Linked DNA regions of Daphnia pulex. The protein of the gene in region 1 binds, or shares a complex with, the protein of each later gene. Links are inferred from orthologs where the notes say so. Each region holds a gene or a part of one and is shown on either strand. Other genes may lie near its edges. The genes, in order: N6-adenosine-methyltransferase catalytic subunit-like and pre-mRNA-splicing regulator WTAP-like.

Region 1 (4,437 bases):
CCGGTTATGCAATCAGTGAATAATTTTTATTTTCTCAACTTGACGATCTCAGTTGAACAAAAAGGCATGATTCACGTGATCAATGCATGGTAAAGTCGCGGACTTTTGCGGTGTAAATCGTTCAAATTTCAACAACGGCCTCTTGAGGTGCAACAAAAAGTATCCAGTAACAAAGTTTATCATTCTCTTCTTTCTAATTTTTTTATTTTACGCAATCGAGGTGTGTGACACTTATTAAAAATGGGTGGATCAAAATGAATGAACGTTGAAAATGCGGAAAAAAGTAATTCGGAGCGATTCGCAAATTTCATTTGGCATTGGGGGCACTGGCATCTGGATAGTGTTTCTGGTAGGCTCGGGCAATGTCTGGATCAAGCAGATGGACACCATCGAGTTGATTTCCCAGGGTAATCCTAAATATCATGTAACAATGTCATTTACTTGCACGTGATAAAATTCTCATTTCCTTACTAGCGTCCATGAAAAGCTAACCACAAAATATTAGAAGGAAAAGAGCAAAAATACTACGTCGGGCGTCAAATAGGCAGAACGGAATTGAAGGACAGTGAGTACGTAATGCATGAAGGTCAAGTAAATGAACACACCAATTTGGCTGTACGTTGTGAGGCCTTCCAAACAACTCGATTTTGCGCGTTCCGGGCGAGAGACGTTCAATAATGCCATACATTTCGTCTGGTTTGTGGCTGGTTGCCCGCACTTCGGCCACGATGACGTCACAATCCAGTCCGCGGTTCAGCATTCTGGGATTACCCTTCATACCTACCTATAACCAAACAAAAATCCAGATACGCATGTATTGGAAAGTACGTTCGTAGAATATATACGTAACTACTAACTAGCTTAGTAGAGTGATTAAAACGCAAGGTGTAGTAGGGTGAGAAAATACGTCAATACCAAGCAGTGTTCTTTCCCATGGTTTAACCAGTGTCCTGTTCGACCTGTTCGAATAATCCTTTGTAGCTGGTTTGTCTTGACCCAAATAATTTCATCGACCCGTTCGTAGCCCCATAGCTGAAGGCACTAGAGAGAGAGAACACGCGTGAGTCACTTGGTTGATTTTGCTACATGTTGAACAACTATTTTAAAAATGTAATGATACCTCTCGGCCCAATTCCATGGCTCGACCAGTAACCCAGAGGAATATCAATCCTTCATCTTGAAGGATAGGAATGCTCAGTTGTCTCATCTCGTCATCAGAAAGGGTTCCATATGGAAGTTCCATGTGAATATCCCACGGTGGATCAGCCATGATAACCGAAAACTTACCTGAATCATAAATGTAAAAAAGAGAGTATTAAAAAAAACCATGGGACCTGTACATAAGGTTGCATATACCTAAAATGGCCATATCCAATGACCGTAAATCACACTGAATCCACTGAGCTGGGTACAGGACAGTGCTTTCACCTCGCGAGACCACTGCCTGACCGAGCAAGGAGCCGGGTTCAAAATCATCCTTTGTTTTAATGGCTTGGTCAACCTCGTAATGAACCTAACATTTTCCAGAAAATGAATTTAAATGAGAAGGTCTAGGGGGAATGCACATTGCGCAACAAGCTCACGTATTTGCACGTTTCCATATGAAAACAGGTATTCAAGAAAGAACAATCTCCAAGTGACTCGTCTGTGTGTGACTGTATAATTTTACGAAAATGAAGCCGATGGCAATTCCATTTGCTTTCGAGACCGTCATCTGATTCAGACATCCAAACTTTACGGCATTCATCTTTAGTTCCGTGGGCGCAAAACTCTTTAACCTGAGCCCCTAAAGAAAATTACTAATAATCAAAGTAACAAAAAAAAATTTGTCGCGTAAGGGTCAACTAACCTCCTTGTGAACGGAATCTTTCTGCTAAGGATTTTTCTTTGACAGTTGGTTTCGACAAAAGATCCAGAATTTCTTCGCCCATTTTCTTGTTTTCTTTTTCTCGTGTCGACGGAAGCGATAACAAGTTCTAAGGAAACAACAAGTTATATAAGTATTAAAACAGTGAACATATGTATTTTACCATGACATCATCATTTTTGGAATCTTTTTTTTCTCTTTTGGACTTAGATAGATCTTCTTTCACTGTTACAGTTTGTGCTGGTAAAGCCGACTCTTCAGCTTCCACTTCATTTTCTGTTTTGATGCAATGATTAGATTCCAAAGAGTGGAAAGTAGTATAAATTTACAGAATATTACGCTTTCGTTTCAAGGATATGGAATTTCCTAACTGATCTTCAGTAACCATAGCAACAAGACGAGCATGCTCAGCATGTGTGATGGTAAGTACTGGCTGATTTTCCTGTATGCCATCTACAAGTCTTTGAAATGGAATAATACTTAATATGGATTCTCAATCAAATGTGTACACACAACACAAACCTAATAAGTTCTTGAGCAGCAAATTTTTGGAGAAGATTACTGACAATTGTGTGTGAAACTAGATATCCAATTTGAGTGGAAACATTATGGCAAATGATTCTGGAATCTGAAGGTAAGGAAAGTGTGGCATCGGTTAATATCCTGAGAACACAATTTTCAATATCTTTATTGGCTTCTTTGCTGGAACTTGACAGATTTATCTCACATGCTTCATCTAGAAAGAAAAGAAATGTTGAAAAATCAGAATCATTGTTCTAGAACCTCATTTACCTGAAAATTTTTGATTGCTATCTGTTTTAACAGTTGAAGTTGAATCGCCTCCTCCAAGGAGATCTTCTCTTTCTTTTCTTCTCTTTTGTAACCGTTCTCTAAGTTCATTTCTTTTTGATTTGACAGCTTGAATCTCCTCCCAAGCGTCAGACATTTTGGAACAAATCAAAATAAATGTGAGGGATTATAAGAACAACAAAACTTCACAAACAAACCGGCATATGATAGAAAATGTCAGACAAGCAGCCAGATTGTTTTCATTCTGCTTTCAGTGTATATTATTTTAGACGGCCGCTAGATGGCCTTTTTCTGGAAATTGGCAAGGGCAGCAATAAGTACAAAAACGGATTAAAGATCCATGTAATTAAAAAAAATTAACATTACCATTCACTAGGTAACGTAAACCGATCCAATTTGCATATCATATTTTTTTTAATAAAAAAAAAGATGGCACTAGTGTTGGTTCGGGAAATGTCGTTCACGTTGGTTAGAAGTCGTCTGCTAGGACGTCCTTCCTCTTGTCGTGTTGGAACTTTCAAGTCACTAGTCACATCCAGTACGTCAGCCGGTCTTCTCCTTTAATTTCAGTCCCGATCAAAAGTAAGTTTCAATAAAATGTCTGGAAACCAAGAACGTACCTACTTGATGATCAAGCCCGATGGTGTCCAGCGAGGACTCGTCGGTGAAATCATCAAAAGATTCGAACAGAAAGGCTTCAAATTGGTCGCACTCAAATTTGTCCAGGTATGTGTGAATCACTTCTTAATTATAAGGAATTGGATCTGCCATTAATTCTGATTGTTCTTTAACTTGTTTGTGTCACTAGCCTACTGAGGAGATGTTGCAGAAACACTATGCTGACCTGTCTGGCCGCCCATTCTTTGCTGGTTTGGTGAAGTACATGGCATCTGGACCAGTTGTTGCAATGGTAAAGAAATAATTTCTTTAGCTGCAATTAACTGTTAGTTTAATACATGCAATGTACTTTCAGGTCTGGGAGGGTTTGAACATTGTCAAGACTGGCCGTCAAATGTTGGGTGAGACCAACCCTGCTGACTCCAAGCCTGGTACCATCAGAGGAGATTTCTGTATTCAAGTTGGCAGGTAAGACTAGTTTTGAATGATAACTTTACACCACATGTTAAATTTTTTTAAAATTAGGAACATCATGCATGGATCTGACTCTGTTGAGAGTGCCAACAAGGAAATTGCCTTGTGGTTCAGGGATGAAGAACTTGTTTCATGGCAGCCAGCTGATAAAGTTTGGGTTTATGAAGACTAGATCAATTGAAATATTTAAGGGGGGCTGAACATATCAGTGTTTAATATTTTAACTGAGATATAAAAATATCAAACTGAAAATATTGTCCTATTAAATTTCCATATTATTTTAGACGGTCGCTAGATGGCCTTTTCTGGAAATTGGCAAGGGCAGCAAAGTACAAAAACGGATCAAGGATCCATGTTATTAAAAAAAATTAACATTACCATTCACTAGGTAACGTAAACCGATCCAATTTGCATATCATATTTTTATAAATAAAAAGGTGGCACTAGTGTCGGTTCGGGAACTTTCGTTTCGTTCACGTTGGTTAGAAGTCGTCTGCTAGGACGTCCTTCCTCTTGTCGTGTTGGAACTTTCAAGTCACTAGTCACATCCAGTACGTCAGCCGGTCTTCTCCTTTAATTTCAGTCCCGATCAAAAGTAAGTTTCAATAAAATGTCTGGAAACCAAGAACGTACCTACTTGATGATCAAGCCCGATGGTGTCCAGCGAG
Region 2 (3,890 bases), on another chromosome or scaffold:
CTGAACTTCATTTATATACTTGAAACACTTAGAAATTTTAGCAAAAGCTCGATGAGTTGCTCGAGACGGTATTTCACCCTGCCACCCCACGTCGCACACTCGCACTTTATTACCTGGAATTGACGAATTGTAGGTATTCTATTATTATTAGAAAGTGAGATATTACATCTGTAAAGTCTAATTTATGAAATCGTAAAAATACCACGATTCATTAGTAGAACTTTGTTCATAAAAAGTTCATAACGAGAATGCGTATATGTCACACACACACATACGATTTCCCGAATGGCTTTTTATGCGATGAATTTGTGCTCCAAAGAGAAAAACCGGTGGCTAGGATCTATTATTTCAGATATCGCTATTTAGCCATTTAAGCTTCATGACTAAAGAATCGCGCAAAATTTGGAAGAATATGACGCCATACTGGGAAAAACCAATATAACATCCTCTCAACAATCCTCTCATATGCCCAAAAAACTCGAAAAATCGAATCAAAATTTCGGCACGATTGAAAATCATAATAATTAAAAATGTAGGATAATAAATGGAAATAATAATAATAGGAAATATAAGATAATAAGTTATAGGATACGAGCCTATAACTAACTGTTACTAATTTTGCAGCTTCAATCGCAGTGTATAATAAGGCTGTTTGATCTGAAGAAAATTTTACTCGTCGTATTAACTTACTCGTACACTACAATTGGCAATAAAAAAATCAAGTCTACACAAAAAAAAATAATGGATTACAATATGTCCAAGACCCGATATAAACGATGAAAATCCATCACGAAAATTAAAACCAACTACTCGTAATCGAATCAGGTTTGACGTTTTACGAAAGGTAAGTTTAAAGTAATAGTTAGTCATTGTGAAAAGATGGCTGAAGAGGGCCATTACACCGATCACTATCATTCATAAGATGAGAAGAGTTCGACTGCAAATAAGAAGGTTCGCACATCCTTTCGTTTAACTGATTTTCCGATTGAGAAGAGTTTACCGGGGATTTTTCTTCATCTGCGCCTGTGTTGGCCGTGTTTGTGCTGGTATTACGAAGAAGTTCATTTTCTTTTTGAGCTGCAGATAGTTGGTCCCGTGTTTGGCGCAACTGTTGCTGTAGAAAATAAATAGTTGATTGCATACCTTCAACATCTTCATCCAATTCCAATAAGAATTCATCTAATTCTGAAAAATAAAAATAAAATGCTAAAATTAAAAGATAAGTCAGTACAGTACATTTAAATTATGATAAGATTCAGGCACTTTTGAGAAAACAAGTTTTGGTTCTAGAAACGAATCAATTCACAAATTATGAATCCTTCATTTGAGACAGAAAAAACAAATCAAATTTCATAACTGTGGCATTCTTATTACAAAACTTAATCAAATTAAAGAAATATAGTAAACAAAATTAATTCACCTGATTGAGATTTCTTCATCTCCTCACTGAAGTTTCGCTGAAGAGCTAAATCCCCTTCCAATTTAGCCAGCCTGCCAGAGGAAATCATCCTTCCTAGTTCTTCATTTTCTTGGTAAAGTAGTCTACATTTCGCCATTAAACGTTTCCCAGTATTGCTATAAGTTTTTTCAACAATAAAATTTAGAATAGAGAGGTGAGCTGTTAGTAACTTAAGATAGAATAAGACTACTATAAAGAAAAACCTGTCTGGAGTGAATTTCCAAGCGCTCAGTTCATTTTGAGTTTCTTCAAATGCTGATTTAGCTTTATCAAGCTCTTTACGCAAATGTTGGATTAGAACATTGACTGATGGATCTAACAGTGATGACCTCAAGGATGTTGAGTTACCAGCTTGTGATGATTTCAGTTCTTGAATTTGGACCTGTCATAATTTGTGAAAATAAGTAAATGGCACAGTAATTCTGAAAATTCATTAAGATGAATGTGATTGCATTCATTTTGATCAAATACATTTTCATTAAACTTACTATTAGATCTTGAATTTCTTGTTCTTTAGAGTTCAAACGCATTAAAAGAAAATTTTCCCTTCTTCCAGATTCAGATGAAATTGAATGTTTAAGTTTTTCTTCAAACTCTCGTACTGGAGTCAATGCTGATAGTAATTTAAATGAATGAAACAAATAAGCTACCGTAGAAACTGGTATGAATGTAGAAAATAAGCCAACCATTCTGAGCAGTTGATAGCTGTGACTCCAGCCAATTAATGTAGTTTTCCTGCTTCATCCATTGCTGATGTAATTGGGATTTGTCAAGATTAACTAATTCTTCATGAGTTAATAAAACTCTAATAGGAGAGCATCGTTCCACTTCACCCATTATTATAACGTGCTTACAGCTTGATGCTCGATGATCATTAACACTTGTCTCCACTCAATTTCAAAATCTGATGATAGCTACGGCTACAATGCAATATCCCTCTGCTGTGAATGCAACTGTGTATTCAGAAAAGTTTCGAAGTACCTTCCCACCCCCAGCCAGCCCCCAGCCCACCAGCACCAGAAGCAGTAGTTCTTCTTTTAACCCCGCACATTACCATCGGTATGTCCGTAAACCCGCAGTTTAGTCAAATTCTTGTAATAACGCGGAATATTGTCTGCTACTGAGTACTGACACATGTCTGGTTGTCCTTGTCCGTCTCACTCGCACAACGTGGAAAATAAAAGTTCTTTTTTTTTAATACAAATAAGATGGCTTCGGTGCAGTATGAATATTGCCCAGATCCAGAAGACAGCGATTTGGTTTTCAACATACCAGCAGGTACTTCATTTCTTTTAATTCCTTTGATGGAACTTGTGTGTTTCTCGTTACAACAAAGTGTTTATTTTTCTTTCCAGGAGATGAAACAAATCTAGCTGTTGAAGAAAATGACTCTGCGTCAGATTCAGATGAAGCTCCTGATGATGTATCCTTTAGTAAATCAAAAGTTGCAGCTCTTTCAATACTTAAAGCAGAGGAACAGTTCAAACGCATAACTAAAGAAGAACAAAAAAAACGAAGACAGAAAAAAGAAGCATTGATGAAAGAACAGAAAGCTAAAACCCTTCAGTCTTTGGCTTCAAAAAGGTTACCTGATAACTTAGTGGACGTCATTTCAGCTCAACCTGTTCAACAACAATCTCAACAAGATTCTGAGAAAAAGCAAAGAAAGAGAACTAAATCTGGGAATGCCTCCAGTGGTCATATAAGTATTTTTCGATAGCTTTTAAAATAAATGATCTGTTGTCTCATAAATTGCACAATTACTAGGGTTTGAAAAAGAACATTACATCCCATTGGAAACGGGAGAAGTGGAATCATCTGACTTTAGTGTTGCAGTTCTTGAATCAAGGAAGTGGAAAAATAAGTTTTCCAAACCAGGCTCCAGTGTTCCAAAGGATTTTCGTCATAGGATGTTGTACGGTCGATCTAACCGACGACAATCAAGTGAGACCCAAGTCGTTATGAAGCCAGAAAAAAAACGTATTAATATATATATTTTTGTTTGTTTTTTTTTTTCAGTCAAGGATATTGAACAAGCCAGAGTGAAGCAGGCATTGTCTGGTAAAATGCGATGGGTAGTTTCTTGATTTATGTGTTTTGGCTGAAAAGTTGTGCAAAAAAAAAATGTCTGAGGTGTTTCAAATAAATGACTTAAAACACATGTGAAGGGTGAGACAAGCCTCCAATTTGTACTGGAAGAAACCAAGTAAGACAAACATTACAGAACCATTCATTTGGGTTTCTGTTTTTAATAAAGAAACAGGATTCTGGCATGAAACGAAATATTCTTAATCTAGGATGACACTCGCACATCATGATTCCATGTTTAGTACACCATACAAGATTATTTCTGAGTCGCATTTTTGCACGCATATACATAATCAAAGACGAGGTTGACAAATGTCTATTGGATTTACAGTTTGATAAGAGA

The links.
Region 2: N6-adenosine-methyltransferase catalytic subunit-like (region 1) and pre-mRNA-splicing regulator WTAP-like share a complex: the UniProt entries of both Homo sapiens proteins name them as parts of the WMM complex. The link is inferred for Daphnia pulex from reciprocal best matches to the Homo sapiens genes METTL3 and WTAP.

Annotation. Positions count from the first base shown.
Region 1 is NC_060028.1:8,119,296-8,123,732, forward strand, and holds N6-adenosine-methyltransferase catalytic subunit-like, read right to left. Parts: upstream 2,987-4,437; 5' UTR 2,814-2,986; coding exon 2,660-2,813; intron 2,604-2,659; coding exon 2,390-2,603; intron 2,329-2,389; coding exon 2,207-2,328; intron 2,144-2,206; coding exon 2,031-2,143; intron 1,977-2,030; coding exon 1,850-1,976; intron 1,787-1,849; coding exon 1,584-1,786; intron 1,514-1,583; coding exon 1,357-1,513; intron 1,288-1,356; coding exon 1,121-1,287; intron 1,042-1,120; coding exon 916-1,041; intron 785-915; coding exon 606-784; intron 475-605; exon of another isoform or gene 414-474; coding exon 308-413; 3' UTR 188-307; downstream 1-187. UniProt on the Homo sapiens protein: The METTL3-METTL14 heterodimer forms a N6-methyltransferase complex that methylates adenosine residues at the N(6) position of some RNAs and regulates various processes such as the circadian clock, differentiation of embryonic and hematopoietic stem cells, cortical neurogenesis, response to DNA damage, differentiation of T-cells and primary miRNA processing.
Region 2 is NC_060020.1:5,269,837-5,273,726, reverse strand, and holds pre-mRNA-splicing regulator WTAP-like, read right to left. Parts: upstream 2,413-3,890; 5' UTR 2,297-2,412; coding exon 2,146-2,296; intron 2,073-2,145; coding exon 1,948-2,072; intron 1,842-1,947; coding exon 1,421-1,841; intron 1,186-1,420; coding exon 863-1,185; 3' UTR 657-862; downstream 1-656. Other genes in the region: uncharacterized protein LOC124193179, read left to right, coding at 2,668-2,737, 2,815-3,165, 3,227-3,403, 3,479-3,546. UniProt on the Homo sapiens protein: Associated component of the WMM complex, a complex that mediates N6-methyladenosine (m6A) methylation of RNAs, a modification that plays a role in the efficiency of mRNA splicing and RNA processing.